Linked DNA regions of Schizosaccharomyces pombe. The protein of the gene in region 1 binds, or shares a complex with, the protein of each later gene. Each region holds a gene or a part of one and is shown on either strand. Other genes may lie near its edges.

What was found.
Region 2: rxt3 (region 1) and laf1 share a complex: the UniProt entries of both Schizosaccharomyces pombe proteins name them as parts of the RPD3C(L) complex.

Annotation. Positions count from the first base shown.
Region 1 is NC_003421.2:1,042,381-1,050,744, forward strand, and holds rxt3 (Clr6 and Rpd3L histone deacetylase complex LCCL domain subunit Rxt3), read left to right. Parts: upstream 1-3,086; coding exon 3,087-3,118; exon of another isoform or gene 3,119-3,164; coding exon 3,165-4,188; 3' UTR 4,189-5,077; downstream 5,078-8,364. Other genes in the region: cox9 (cytochrome c oxidase subunit VIIa), read right to left, coding at 259-400, 463-497; taf8 (transcription factor TFIID complex subunit 8), read left to right, coding at 1,451-1,544, 1,601-2,175; SPOM_SPCC1259.16 (uncharacterized protein), read right to left, coding at 2,242-2,323, 2,377-2,507; SPOM_SPCC1259.08 (uncharacterized protein), read left to right, coding at 6,223-7,407; pyruvate dehydrogenase Pdx1, read right to left, coding at 7,707-7,992, 8,035-8,266, 8,315-8,364. UniProt on the Schizosaccharomyces pombe protein: Component of the RPD3C(L) histone deacetylase complex (HDAC) responsible for the deacetylation of lysine residues on the N-terminal part of the core histones (H2A, H2B, H3 and H4).
Region 2 is NC_003424.3:5,247,421-5,255,356, forward strand, and holds laf1 (clr6 L-associated factor 1 Laf1), read right to left. Parts: upstream 4,815-7,936; 5' UTR 4,615-4,814; coding exon 3,721-4,614; 3' UTR 3,100-3,720; downstream 1-3,099. Other genes in the region: vtc2 (polyphosphate synthetase), read left to right, coding at 336-503, 711-2,747; RFC-like checkpoint protein Rad17, read left to right, coding at 5,938-6,148, 6,192-6,295, 6,353-7,858. UniProt on the Schizosaccharomyces pombe protein: Component of the RPD3C(L) histone deacetylase complex (HDAC) responsible for the deacetylation of lysine residues on the N-terminal part of the core histones (H2A, H2B, H3 and H4).

The DNA.
Region 1 (8,364 bases):
CTACTGAGTCTCTAAAACAAGACAGAAGACGAATAATAAAACTACTTTTTAAAAATTTGTGGCATATTTTGAAACTTAACCAGTGAATATCATTAGTCAATTACCGCGAAAAAGCCTACAAAGTTTGAATCGGCAGCATTCATAATGACAGTTATTCGGCTTGGAGAAAAGGCGTATTATTGTTGATTCGAAGGATGTACCTTTTAGAAATAGATGAGTTCGTCCAATGTTGGCGTTGGACTGTTATGAAATCACAACTTATTCTGCATTTTTCTCAGCAGCAAGCTTAACGTAAAACTCTTCACGTTGTCTAGCAGCAGGCTTGTGATAGCCAAACCACCAATAGCAGGCACCGAGAGTGCCAAGAATCATAGTTACAGAAAAGTCTGTGACAATTCGTCTAATAAATTCGTCAGTTTCAGCGGATTCAGACATACGGCGTTATTCAAAACCATTCCTTACCTTTTAAACATTCCAGTTACAGGACCGACAGCCATTTTGATGATACAGCAATAATTTAAACAACTTCAAATATTTGTCAAGAGAGGGGAGTTGGTATAAGAAATGTAAGCAGAATCCGACTTAGTTTGTGTGGACAGACGGAGGTGATCTTCTATTACTCACTAAAGTTTGTTAATTTAAGATTTCAAAATTCGAAGAAATGTGCTATATTTCAAAAACAAAAAAAATAATACAACATAATGAAGATAAGTCGGCCTTTGAATGGTCTTAAGCAACTAGTAACGATACCTATTAATAGTGCACTCGATATATATTGTATTACTTTTTACATTTCTAAATTTCTGCAAATTTTTTACGTTGTTTAACGGTACAATACCATCGTATATCATATACTATTGATCCTTAAATACCATAATTCGAAAGGTAAGCTAAGAAACATTGTTTTTCTTGTTCTGTAGCGGATGAGGCATAGATACTCGCAAGTATTTATTGATTGAATGACTTTGTTCTAACTAAATCATACCATGAAGATTGAAGTAAAAATAAATCTGTAAAAGTTACATTTTATGCTTATTTATGTCTTTTGTTCTGAACAATTCATTATATCCATTTAGTTTACATGATTAACAATAATTGTGCTAGGATGTATTTCGCTATAGCAAATAGCAAATTGCTGTTGATCGCATTATATATGAATAATGCAGCACTGTAACACGAGCAGAGTACTTGGTTCGCACAAAAAACTGTGACGAAAAAGCTTAGAAAGTGCATTCTGAAGGGATTCTAGTTTTACCTGAATATTACTGAGAAAGAAGACATTTTCGATTTTTTTAATTAAAAACATACATCGCATACATTCAAAATTCGCTTCTAAATTAAATATAGTTCAAAATCGACGCAAAGTAAACGAACGTCTCTAAAAGCTGCACTAGCAAATCAATAAACTATAATCCTTGAGCCTAAAATTTATAATATATATATTAGCAGCATGGAAGCCGTGATCGCGAATATTCTACAGCAGTTGGGATTCGATAGCATGACTAAAGCAGCAGAAGCATCCTTTGTTGAAGCTGTGGACAAATGTAAGTCCTGTCGAACCGAGAAAATTAAAATTCTTTATTTCTAATAGCAATAATAGATTTGAGGAACTCTTTTCGAGAACTTGCTCTTCATACTCAATTGAGCAAACACACAATTCCTACGACTAAAGATGTGGCCTTATGGCTCAATTTGTTGAATATACCCATGTCAAGCCTTCAAACAGAATTAGAAAAATATTTAAAACCTTTACCTCCTGCAATTAATGATGAACTAGATAGACTGGCCAATGAAAGTCAGGATATCCCTTCAAAATTCAAATCATCCTTGGATTCGAAAATGGTATCTCAACTTTTGGGATCCCTGGCAGTGTCTCAAAATAGACCAGCTTATGTCGTTAATCATTTACCTCCTTTTCCTGCATCACATACTTACATGGCTACCCCCGTATATCCCGTTCGTCCTACATCTCCTAAACAGATTCGTGAACTCGCAACTCAAGAATCCAGGCTTGCTGAACATGCTCTTCGTAAAATTTTAAATGTTAATCAACCACGTTCTGCCGATTCGCCTCGTCATGCCTCATTTGAAAAAGCGTGCTCCGAGCTAAATCTCGATGTTTCGTCATTTCACTTAGTAAATTGGGAATCCCAAAAATGGAGCTCCCAAAGGTGAATATACTTGTTAATTTCTTTCCTTTTACGTTAATCAAAAAAAGATTAACTTATTTCCTTTTTTTTTTTAATTTTTCTCAACGACAGGTCCTGACTGTAACCCAATCTGATTTGACATTGGTCGAACTTCCTTCATGTGTCCATCCACCCTATTTTTGCATTAGCTTTTCTTTCTCTATAATAATGTTCCCTATAGACTTACACTTGAAAAAATCTTTGAACTGTAATACAGACGACGTCGTTCTCATGTGCACTTACTTTTTCACAGATATATTGTTTCATGCATTTATATGCCGGCTTTTCAAGTTTCTCTTTATGACTTTTTTGTGACATTGCGAATGAAAATTTCCTTTTCTCTTTGTGCAGTTAGTTCCGCTTTCAATCAACCTATTTTTATTATTTGTCGCTACTCCTTCATTCAATAAAATTGCCTTGATCCCCTCTTTCTCTTGTATTTAAGTAGTAAAATAACGTAAGGAGTTAATAAACAAATGAAATAATAGAGGCTCTAGTACAAATTCTACGCCACAGGGTTTTTCGATCGTTCTGTGCGAATGTAACTAAGTTGTACTTTTTTGTGTATTTACGAATATTTGCTTTAAAGTAATCGCTATCAGACTTGTCTTGCAACTGTATTTTTATAAAGTTCCAGCATAAAGCAATTTCTTCAGTGAATACGCAGCATCTCTTCATTACACCCTTAGGTTATTTGAAATGGGTAAAATCCAAGTATGAATAATCTTATCCAAGGTTTTGAAGACTAATGTCATATGCTAACGACAGTAGATTATATGAAATGTATGTAGACAAATACTACCGATGCTTTAAAGCGCATAGCGATTTTTACCGTACTATGGTTAAATCAAGCCTACAAATCTCGGTGACGAGTTGAACATTAGATTATAAACATTCATGGAGGAAAAGACACCAGAAAATGAGCAATCGTATGTATTTCAGGGAACTTTTTTAGTTTGTTAAACTAACTTGTAGGAAAAAAACATTTGATCCAAAGGACTCTATGAAAATAGAAGAAACTAGTACAAATGGTAGCTCACAGCCATCTCAACCTTCAAATATCAAGCTTTCTATAGGGTCTATCTTAGAAAGTTCTAATGATAACGGAGATCCTGAGTACTCGGAAAATGGAATGGGGAATATGAATATGAATACTTTACCAATGGCTACATCGACACCCATGTCATATACCAAACAACCTTCTGAAGCCAAATATCCAAATTCAGTTTGGGAAAGGAAAGGGGTTTCCGACCAAGAGGAAAATACAAGCTCTGTTAAACGTCAAAAAACTCTTCCTACTCAGTCATCAGGAGAAGAGGAAGCCAAGTATTCACATCCTGGAGCGCCAACGGCTACAAGTGCTGATTCCATTAGTATGGAATCGCGTCCATCCAATTTATCAACTTCCTTGTCCAAAACGACATCTTATCCGCAATTCCAAGTTCGACAATTCGTTTCTCCGATAATCAGTATAGATAATAGTGCGTTGGAACCTTTTCTTAACCGATATCCAGCGTCTGAATCTTTATTTCCAGTCACCGAATATGAATACACTCCTTGGCTTGAATTTCCTCTTTTATATTCCTCAATTGGTAAGTTCGTTCGTGTGACAATCGACATCAAATGGCTGAATGCAGCCATCAATCCCAGACTTTGCAGACGAGAAATATGGGGGACCGATGTGTATACTGATGATTCCGATATTGCTACTATACTTGCCCATTGTGGATGCTTTTCTCTTTTGAAGCCAGTCAGAAAAATTGCCGTTGTCGACTTGTACATACTTCCTCCTTTAGTTCATTACAAAGGCACTAGGAAAAACCAAATTGAGAGTAGAAGCTGGTCTTCTCGTCAAGATGGCATAAGTCTTAAAATAAAAGAAGTAACTTGGAAGCCAGCGTGTGCCTCAATTTTTGAAAACTCCATACATACACTCACTCTGGAAGAACGGCTACAAGCTCGCTTAGAGCTATCACGCTCTTCTACTTTTAAAATCTAATTTTTTGATATTATTAATCGGTTTCTTTTCAAAAATATTTTTTTTTCTTTTTATATATCTGCCTGTACCAAGAAATTACTTATTTTTCAACACTTCATTCAATTTCACTTTCGCGAATTTACGGAATCGCAAAAGCTTCTCGCTCTACTTCGCTAACTGTCTTTTTTGTCTATGTCAAATTCGTGTAATAATGTGTCCGTTGATGTGCAATTACTACATAAGCAATTAGCGTTGTACAATATCGCATTGGTTTTGCAAAATTCCTTTGCCTTGGCGTCCTCGTTCCTAGTTACTCGTGCGAACGCTCGCCTCCAAAATTAGGTATCCCGCAGATAGTATATTGATCCGATGATCATAGCAATCAATAGTAGACTTCCGCAGTCTGGTTTGGATATTTTCGGTTCTACAATCAAAGTATATACGTTTTTAATTTAAATACCTTCAATACTATTAAACCCTTTTTTTTGTTAATAGAGGCCTCTTTTTTTTTTCTTTTTTTTTTTTACCACTGCTTTATTTACATGACAACGATACGTCGGTCTCATTACTCGTGCCATAACAACACAAACAGACAGTTTGTCTTTGTTCAGCTGATTAACTGAAGATACAAAAGAACAACGTGAATAATTAATTATCTGGCATTGTCTAATTTCCTCCGTGTATTGAGTATTGTTGATTATAAAGTTTGCGGAACTAATGAGGACGCGGAATGGAATCATAGCGGAATTACAGAAATTTTCATTACTTTTGCGCCGTCGTTTCAAAATGTAAAATTGCCGCTCATTATTTAAATTTCAAAAATCTAGGGCAAGTTAAAACATGTAGAATATATTATTTACGAGTATAAAATCGATGGTAAAACAAAACTTTGAAAATATTCGAAAAGGTGTAGCAACCTTTTAGGCGACGATCGTAAGACGCAGCACACTGTACATCAATTTATCCTTGTTGGATGCTAAATATTTATTTTTGCACTAACAACTAGGGCGGCGGCCAACATCATACATTACATATGCGTTAGACTGGTTTTCGGAACCCTACCCTAAATAAGGCTGAATGACTTGAGAGCGGGGGCGGTACGCTTTCTTCTTTTCCCAACCATAACTTTGGAGTACACGACATAAATAAGAGCGTTGCCTTAAAAGCCGCGTGCAACTCAATTTCTGGTATATCAAGATTCCAGTTCTTGGTTTCTGACTGGTTCAACGACTAGCCATCTACTACTCAATTGGTGAATTGGACGACGAAACTGTGTATTATCTTGTTTCACTTGCTAAAGAGGAGACGTACATCTGAGGTACAGCACTCTATTAGTCTTAATCGCTAAGTGCTTTTTCGATCCCTCAAAATTATCTGCAGGATTGCAAGGTCGTCAAAATCACCGTGATTTCTTTTATTACGTTGGTAAAGTCATTCAAAGTACTGAGAAATTGTTGTTGGCGATTTTAACTCAGTTTTGCTTTTGCTCTATTTTCAAAAAGAAGAAAAACGATCATATATATATTTTATTGTGAAGACTATTTGAGAATATTTTTGGAAATCATGTATTCTCTTTAACAAATTCACGTGAATATCTTCTTTCGTGTCGTTATAGGTTCAACAAGTAATTCTTTTATCGACTTATAGTATTTTTTTAAAACTTGATTTTTGCGACGCTCGTCTTACTTACTCACTGCTGTCCAAGTGACTTTTCGTTTGTACCTCTCATAATTTTTTATTTATACTTCTTAAAAACTTGAGCCTCTCGTTGTTTATCACTTATTGATCGATTGACTTCATTTTAAGTTGATTTTTTTCTATCTTAACTGTGCGATTTTGAAAGTTCAACTCATCTTTCCTTTCAGCGAACACATTTAACTAGCTCAGTTACATACATTACAGCTTTCGTTAAAAGTCTCTACTTTAGACGTTATCATAAAAGATTATACAATCTGCTTTTGTCTTCTTTGCTATTGCTTGATCGTCTGGATACTATCCTTACAATTGCACTAAATCAAACCATCTATTTTCTTATTTTTATTAAGGCATCCATCGATGACTGGGTTACTTAGTATACTTTTGCATTACAAAGGCAACGGCGACTTGGCTACTACTGACATCCCTTCTCACGAGAAAATTCCGTCTGCTAAACGCACGGCTGTACAATTTTGTATTGGTCCGACCCATGAGCAGTCTCCGCGTATGTCGACCGTCAGTCAGGGCCGAGTTACGTTTGCAGTGTTACCTACAAAACCAAAAGATGAAGTTACCTCCATGAAAGCTAATGGCTCTCGTCAATCGTCTTGCATCGTTTCAAATGCCCGAAAACGCCAGTCTGTTCATTGCCTTTCTAGAAGTCCAATTCCAAGCACCCGACTGAAGGAGAATGACAGTAGACTCTGCAGTCCTCTTGCTTCTCCGACAGGCGGACTAAAGAGACCAGCAAAAGTGTCTTTTGCACTTGCTAATACTCCTTCCCGTAAAGGGAATCTTGTCCCACAGTCACCTAGGAGAACTATTGCTACTACTTGCAAAGGTGTTTTAGAGGATGTATTGAAAAAGGACAATGAGTTGAAGTTTAACGATTCTGATGAAGAAGATGAAGTCGATGATGAGGAGATTGAAAGTTTCAACTCATTTTCTCGTAAAATGCAAACAATCAGTAACTCTCGTTATCGTGGTTCCCCGAAACCAAACATTGAAAAGCAAAGTTGCTCCTCTGAATCCGATCGCGTTTCTCAAATCAGCGATGATGAGGAAGATGAAGAGGGATCCGCTGATGAGGAGGATGAGGAAGATTCAGATGTTGAGCTTTCCGAATCTTCCTTATCCGATGATGAGGATTCTCCTCTTCGTTGTCCTTCTACACCAGTCCAAACAGCTGCTGCTCCAAATGAAAGTCAAATTCCCGATGATACGGATTTCGTTCCTGGTACATTTGACGAAGATCAACCTGCATGTTTAGCTTTTGCTTGTTCCTTAACGCACGCGAACTCTAAGAGATCAATAATGTTGCCCCAGGATATAGATCCAACGTTTCCTGATTCGGAACCAGAAGATGATGGTCATGCAAGTTCTACAGTTGGCTCTCTTTCTAAAGAGGAGGCCCGTTTTAAAGCTAAAGCCAAATGGAATTACAAGTCTTCATTTTCCGCACATGTGTCTTCTGAAGTTTTGCGCAATAGCAAGTCACCACCTCTTGACATTGCTCGTAAAGCAGTCGGCGCACATCGTGTTTAAACCAAAGAAAAAATTGGATAATTATCCGTTCTTGTACATTAATAAATGGAATAGTAAAGTTTAGTCGCATTTAGTCATCTAAGGTTGTTGTTATGTGCGCATTTTCTTCATGAGTTTCATTATGCTTTGTAGCATTATCCATTCGTTACGTTATCATTTGTTTGTTATACTTGTTAAAAAATAACATATTATTCCAACCAGTTATCGAGTATTAACAGAAAATATGTATATTAATAAACTATTTTACACATAAAAAGTACACAGTGTTAAATAAAACTAAGATCCCAATTGTGATACGATCACCAGCGCGATAAGACAAATTCTGGATTCTCAAAATTGCTCTTAAGGCAATCTACAAACTTAATTGCACGGCTTTTGCTGATGTTGTCCTTGATGGACAATGTCAGGGTCAAATCCTCAGTAGTAGATGGCTCCTCGTGACGATTTATTCTGGAATCGATACTATCGCTGTTGCTACCCAGCAGCATATCATAAACATCATCCAAAAATTCAACGTTATTAGAAGAGCTTTTTGTCACAGAACTGAAGTTCAGCTTTACATAGTCGCTTAAATTGCTAGGTAAACTGTACGGTTAATATCAGAGCAATCGCAATGAAAAGTCTTACCCTATCATAGAATCACGAATGTATTTGTGTAAATCTTTAGTGTTATTGTTTTTTGGGAATAGCTTAGGTTGAAAATTTGAAACCGAAGACTTTAATTTTACGATTGGAGCGCCTAGAAGTAAATCGTAAGCAGATTCAATTGAGTTAGGTTCAACTTTCGACAATTCAGATATAGAAAGAGCATCACCAATCATTGCTGAGACGACTTCATCAATACCAAATGCATCTTTTTCTGAAAAAGATATTAGCAATAAAATATAATAAAAGGACATTACAATACCTTTTCTTTTAGCTAGCAAAGATTTTAACTTTTCTAGTGAAATAGATCTC
Region 2 (7,936 bases), on another chromosome or scaffold:
AGGCTTATGTACAACACTCAATAATGGAGTGGTCACTTCGTTTTCTTTCCACTTGTTTACTAAAATTATTTGTCAATTGAGTAAGAACAGATAGATAATTGTAAAGTTTTAATTGAGTTGCAATAACATCTTTCATATTGTTGACAAAATAAGAAATACGAATATGTGGACATTGCTTAGCGATGTTTATCATATCGTTATTATAGTAATACGTAATGGAATAACAAAAATCGTTTTAACGAGATCACTTCGCTGCTCTAATTAAAAATTTAAAGGGCGCTGCGAGAAAATACTTTACTACAACACCACATCTTTTTTTTTGGATCAAGAAAGCAATGCGTTTCAGTGACAGTATAGAAGCTGGAATTTATGAACCATGGAGAGATAAATATATGAATTATCCAGAGTTAAAACATTTGCTTAAAACTGAAGAGGAAGCACCCTCATGGGGTGAGAATGATGAGTCTAAGTTTGTTTCTGTTATGGATGCCCAACTGGAAAAGGTAAGTAGCAAGCGAATATGTCTTAAATTTTGTATTACAAGGATTGTAATTAGGAGCTTAAATTAATAAGTAGCCTGAAATTATCACACATTTTATTTTGTTGCTCCTGTAGAATGCTGTTATCTAAAATTCCATGCTTGGTATAAATCCTTGTATTTTAAGAAAAATAAGCTTATCACGCTTAACGTTTGCTAACATTTTCTGTAGGTTTATGCATTTCATCTCGAAATTTTGAAAGAATTAAATGAATCAGTGGATTGGGTAAAATCTAAAGTTTCTGCTTCTCAGGAACCTGATGGTCCTCCCATTTCTAAGGAAGAAGCCATCAAGTTACTAGAACGATTGGATTCTTGTACTGAAACGGTTAAGAAGTTGGAGAAGTACACTCGTCTTAACTTAACAGGTTTCTTTAAAATCGTTAAGAAGCATGATAAGCTTTATCCCGGCTATTCTCTTCGTCCTGTGTTTCAGGTTCGTCTTCGCGCTTGTCCTTTAGGCAGTGTCCAATTTAATCCTCTTTTAGCTGAAATTTTCTCTCTTTATAATACTTTACGTGATGGTCTTTCAGCACCAAGTAACTCCGTGCAAGTGAAACCGAAGCATGAGCACAATGTTGATTACAATTCTAGTATGTATCGTCGTCGTACGTTTCGTTTTTGGGTCCATCCTGATAATGTGATGGAAGTAAAAACATACATTATGAGGCATCTTCCTGTTCTTTATTACTCTGGAAAGCAAGGATTTGACAAAGACCAAAATGGTGTATCTGGAATTTTGGATCCTATATCAACTTGCTTGTATTTAGATAATTCCAACTTTGATTTATATTCTCAAAATTTGGAACGATCAGAACAGGCTTATTCTTTGCGACTTCATTGGTATGGAAAGTTAACTCCCAAAACCGATATTATCGTTGAACGAATGGTACGTCAAGGAAGTACTCTTTCACATAGTGAAGACCGGTTCACTATCCGCGAGAAGAAGGTTAGAGAGCTTCTAAGTGGGAGATATGATTTTAGGAAGGTTGAGGATGATCACTCGACAACTGCTTCTGATCAGAAGAAGAAACTAATTGAAGATGTTGAACAGCTAATCGTTGACAATCACTTGCAGCCTGTTCTCCGTTCTGTTTACACTCGTACCGCATTTCAGATTCCAGGCGATGATGAGGTTCGTATCAATCTTGACTCAGACTGGGTTATGATTCGTGAAGACTCTTTGGACATCGAACGTCCTTGTAGAGACCCCGAAGATTGGCATCGTCACGATATTGACGATGCTGATTTCCCATATAAGCACTTAAGAAAAGGAGAGTATTCTCGTTTCCCTTATAGTGTCCTAGAAATCCGTGAATGTGTTAGATATGATGAAGACGAACCTCTTTGGATCTCTGAATTGCGTAATTCTCATTTAATTTCTGAAATTGATGGTTTTTCGAAATATGAGCATGGTGTTGCAATTCTTTTTGAAAAATACGTATCTCTTTTACCAATGTGGGTATTTTCAATGGATCAAGATATTCGAAAAGATCTTCAAGAGGTGTACTCCCATCCCGAGGGATCTGCGGGCTCTCGAAATGTTTACATTAAACGTAGGAATCAAAGAGTTTTAAAGCAGAATATGACACCCGAACCTAGTCAACCCTCACCTTTGGTCAATCGTTTAAAGGCCAATGAAATGCACCCTGTTTCAGAAGAGCCCGAAGATAATAGAGAGGTGTATCGAAATGAGCACGGAGACCATTTCAACTTCAGAAGCATACCTGGTTTGCTGAAGCCATCTACTTATGGATCGTTTAAGCATCATGGTAAAACGTTTGTTACTCCACCCCATATCAAGAAACCAGAGATTCCGCTTAGAGTCAGTGGTCCGATTAAGGTTGAGGCCAAAGTTTGGCTTGCAAATGAGCGTACGTTTTTGAAGTGGCTTCATGTCGTGGTCTTGCTTGGTTCTCTTGCTCTTGCATTATATAATAGTGCTGGAGAAAGACTTGGTCAGGCTTTTGGAGTAGTTTATACTCTTTTAGCTATTTTCATTGGGTTCTATGCTTGGAAGCTTCATGCCAAGCGTTCTCAAATGATCAAGTCCCGCAGTCCTGCGCCAATGACTGATTATTGGGGCCCATTGATTGTAGGAACAGCTTTGGCTATTTCTCTTATTGTCAACATGTCATTTGCACTTAAGGATGCTGTTTATCAAAATCTCATTGAACCTGATCGTTTGCTTGTTAAATTGTTTACTTGAGAAGTTTCGATATCATTCAACATGGGATTTTTCCAACTTTTATTACACGTTGGATTTACTATTTAAATGCAATAAATTTTTAGAAAGCTAGAAGATAACATTTCAGTAAATTCTTGATTTAGATGCAATGTGAAGTTGAAAATTGCAATAAGATTGAAAACTTCATTTAGAGCAGGGCTCTTGGGTTATTATATTGGTTAATTGGTTTGGGGATATATGTTATCGGTTTTTACTAAAATTTGCACGGGTATTGCAAGTTTTTACGTGTCGATTTACTTTTTTTGCAAGGATTAAGAAAAGCTGGATTTGACCATATATTCATTACATTACAACACTGGGGTATATTAATACTGGGATATTAACGTCGGACATCCATTATAATTTCTATGGTTTAATTAATTTAATAGCAAAGAATAAATAATCAATTATTAATTATCCGCTAAGCATTGGATCTAATTGAGTAGAGTAAAATAACTAAAAACCCCTAAAATCCGTCTGATTAGGGAACTGATGGTTATCGGTTATTAGGTATAAAAATAACAATATCTACTGTAAATAGGAGAAACGAACGTTTTTAAAAGAGAGTTATTTCACATCTGTATTAATGAATTTTTTAATACAAATGCTGACTACATGATGCTTTTCATCTTTGGGAGGATAAAAAAACAAAAAGTGAACGAAGGAAGAAAAGAGGGACTTGAGGTATATACTACTGGTTATTGGCCAGATAAAACGATGGACACCGACTTCAAGACGAAATATCCAAAAAAAAAAAGAAAGGTTTTACCGAGATGCAAATGATTGTAAACAAAAAATTCAAAACACCTAGAAAAAAATAAATAATCCAACGAAAATGAAATCCGTGGTTTTTCGAAATTTTTAAATTTGATTATTTCCCTAACCCGCCAAAAGAGAAAAAGAGAGAAAAAATCTATTTTTTGAAAGGCCAGCAGGATTATGAACGATTCGCGAATTAGTCGTCAAAGAAACCTTCATCGTGAAAAGCTTTCCAAAGACGACTAGCTTTGTTCACATCGACACGACTAGCACGTTGAGCATCTGTTTTCCTAAAGCTTAGGCCTTGAGTACGGCGATTGTGCCACTCAGCAAAGATTCTACGCTTATTGTCAAGATAAACGAGACAAGGCAATCGAAGTGTTGCAGCCAACTGTAGCTCAGCAGGATGTAAAAGGTGTCTATTCTCATCATTGGAAAGATCAAGGGGAGGGCCCTTCCATTCGCTACGAAGGGGGCGAGGATGAGAACGTTTATCCAAAACAGACATATCAGGAGAATAATCAGGCAATAGCTCATATGGTGTATTGGCGACATCAATGGCCTGGGTGTTGGAGGAAAACTCCCTACTGGACTGCTTGAAACGCGTATTATGTTGAGGCATTCCAGGATGAACATCTCCTTTTGAATGCGGAGTTGAATGTCCCGAGTCCGGCGTATCAGGAGAACCTCTTTTACGGGTATTAGAAGCGTGCACATCCAGAAACGAGCTGGGTTGCCTTCTTGGACGTTTGGCAGCTGGAGTCGAAAACCTGTATGCTGGAGAATGACGCTGAAGCCATTGCCTTTCTCGGCGAAGCCAAATTTTAGGTGAATCTCGGTACAGATCGTAAACCTTGGAATGCAGTTGCGCAACAGGTGTTGCTGTCGGCTTTGGTTCCACAATAGAATCTTTTGGAGATTCAGGTATTGTAGAACACTTAGGTACATCAACAGTACTTGCAACTTTGTCATTTGGAATGGGAGAAGGCGGCGGAGATATTAGGTACTGATATGCCTTAATGGCTGCCGCACATGTGTCCTTCTCCACATTTCTAGGGATCGAATAAACAAGCGTTTGACTCGATTTCATCTTACCTTTTTCCTTGATAAAGTCGAGCAAGCTGTCGATAACCTTTTCAATTAAATCAAGTAGACTCTGAAATTACTCCAAATTGTTGTTTTTATGTACAATTCTTTTATGCAAAAGTCAAAAGAGCGACCGACTTTAGATGAAATTTACAGCCAACAGCAATTCCAAGTTTCACCTTATGCCAAACGATTGTTGGTGTTAGTAAAATCCCAAGGATGGATGGAACACATGTCGAAACCGGTAGGTAGGGTTAGGTTGTCAAAAAAACATGTTACTTGAATGGTAAATACAAAATGGAAAATAAATGCCATTTTGAAGAAAAAAATTATTTGCCATATTAATCAAGTGGGTTTCCCAAGTTTTTCTTTGCTCACAAGGGTTTCTGTTTCCAGTATTATGCGAAAAATCAATTCCAAAAAGGAAATACATCCCATCAAATATAATTAAGCCAAGCGAAATACTGATGGATAGGGGATTAAAAGTACCACATTAGATGTATGGGTATGAACTTTCTGTAGTGTTGGTTGATTTCTATTCTTGCTCATTTCCCAATGGAGTTCATATCGGTTCTTAAAGAGTTAGAGCTCGGCTAACTATGTTTATCAACAAAATAGGGAGTTTTGATGCAGCAACATTGGATTATTAGACTGCTTCTAATGAAACAATTCCTCCTTTGGTTTCCAGTGTAATGTCGCAATCCAAATCAAGGTTAAATATACTCATTACTATATTCTTAATATTTACAGCTTTGCCTTTCCAGCTGCTAGTTCCTAATGCACTCATATACGACATAATTGAAAATGCCAATTGTTTGATTTTATAAATGAAGAGAAATACATTTCTGTGTCCATTAGAGTAATTTCTCAATTGAAATATATCACTATTTTACTTGTTTATTTATTCATTCTTTATCGTTCAGATGTTCATTAATTAAAAAGCTAACTTTTTTATTGATGATCATTGTTTACAGTATGAGAAAAAAAAGTAAATTTGTAATAAATACTTTCGCAATATATCTTACAATAAGAGAAATGTACAAATAAATGATTTATAAATAAATTATACACATGTCTTTTTTACTCTTCTTTATAGGAAGCAGTTTCAGAGTACTTAAGAAACCTACTCACTTATTCTCTTCCATATACAGTACTTGTATATTTTCACTAGTTCACACATTTACTTGTCAGCAGTAAATTAATCAATTCACTCGTTTTTTTGTGCTGTTAAAATTTTGTGAACTATTAATATATATTTTATCTAATGATTTACAAAGTCTCTACCTTTAGCTTCCTATTTCTTTGTTGAATAAAACATATATCTGGCATGAGGCGACAGTTGTCGTTTCATGAATCTACAAAGAGATCATTAAAAAAGAAGAAAATAAGAAAGATTGAAAAACCTTCTCTAGTTTCAAAAACTTCACGCGACAAAAATGCTTCGATAACCGATATTCATGAAGAAGATATTGAAGCCTTTTCTGATGAAGAAAACAAAATTGTTCATCTCAATAATTTAAAAGAAGATCGATTTCAACGTAAGAAAATTTAAAAAGGTTCAAAAATTAACGGTGCGCATAGTTTGGTTTGAAAAATACATTCCTCAAAAAGCGGCTGATCTTGCCGTGCATAAAAGCAAAATAAGTGCAATTAAGCAATGGATGTTAACGGATTCTTTAGAAAGTGTATGTTAAATCTCCCCTAATTCTCTCAAAAATATTTCTTGGCTAACAAAATCATAGAGGTTACTTTTGATCTGTGGTCCTTCTGGTTGTGGAAAGAGTACCGCAGTTCAGGTCTTGGCTAAAGAATTAGGTTATAGTCTCATAGAATGGCTAAACCCTATGAACCTAAAAGAGCCTTCAAACCAAGAATCAGATACACTTTCGCTCACGGAAAAGTTTAGTAGATTTATGTCTTTATGCGAAACTTATCCAGAGTTAGAGCTTATGGATTCAAATAATATTCAAAAGCGTGGAAAAAATGCACAAGGAAAGAAAAAGTTTATTTTTTTGGATGAAATTCCTCACCTTTCTAAATTCAATGGCTCTCTTGATGCTTTTCGTAATGTCATTCGCACCGCATTGACATCGCGAGGCGCCTTTTCCATCATCATGGTTCTTACAGAAATACAGTTAAACAACTTGGAAGGTATTAATAGTCAAGATCGAAATTCCTTTAATAGCGTGCAGATAATGGGTAATGATCTACTTCAGGATCCACGTGTAACAGTTTTACAGTTTAATCCTATTGCGCCGACATACATGAAAAAATGCCTTGGCTCTATTCTACGTAAAGAGGGTGTTCCCAAGTCTCCAAAGTTGTTGAGTTTGGTGGAGAATATTTGTTCTGCCAGCGAAGGGGATTTGAGGAGTGCGATAAATTCCTTACAATTATCGATCTCTCAATCTTTTGAAAAGAAAGGAACAAAAAATATTAGAGAAGTAAAAGAGGGGAAAGGAAAGGGGAATGATTTTAGCTTAGAAGCTGCGCAGGTTCTTGAACGATTGTCAAAAAGCGATTCGGAGGCCTACGCAAGATTTAAAAATTATAAAAGTGCGTATATCCCAAAATCCGATAAAAATGAGAATTCGTTTTTCAAGAAGGACGTTGGCCTTGGAATGATGCATGCCATTGGAAAAGTTGTATGGAACAAACGGGAAGGAGATGATGAAGTGCTAAAGGCTTCATCTCAGCAAACGGGCAATTCGGAACGAATAAAGGGAGTAAAAGTCAGTAAAAGCCAAGAAAACAAGAATTGTATTTCATTAAAAAGTGACCAGCGAGAACGAATGCTTAATGTTGATCAATGCTTTACTTCCAAAAGACGAAGCTTGGTGGATATCGAATCGACAATCAACCAGAGTGGATTAAGCGGATCTGTTTTTCGTTACGGACTTTTTGAAAATTACGTTGATTCTTGCGTTACAACGGATGAGGCTTTTAATGTATGTGATTTGCTGAGCATATCTGACTGTTTGTCCCATGATTTTCCGTACTCCTACACGGGAGATGAAATATCTACGTGGTTTTCAGTTCAAGGTACATTATTTTATCTACCGTCTCCCGTTCCACGAAAGTGGAGACAACTTCGATTCCAACAGTGGAACAACGAAGGTATTGTAAGAGGCATTTTTGATGATTATATGGTAATTTATGGAAAAAGATCTGTTTCTGATCCCGTTATTGAAGCGCATGAAGATCAAGTTTTAGAAGATATTGATGATCCGATTGAAGATGAAGATTAATGTTTGTAAATACTTAATGAGCCAAAAAATTAAACTTCTATTGATATTAAACATACAAACAGGTACACTATAAAAGAC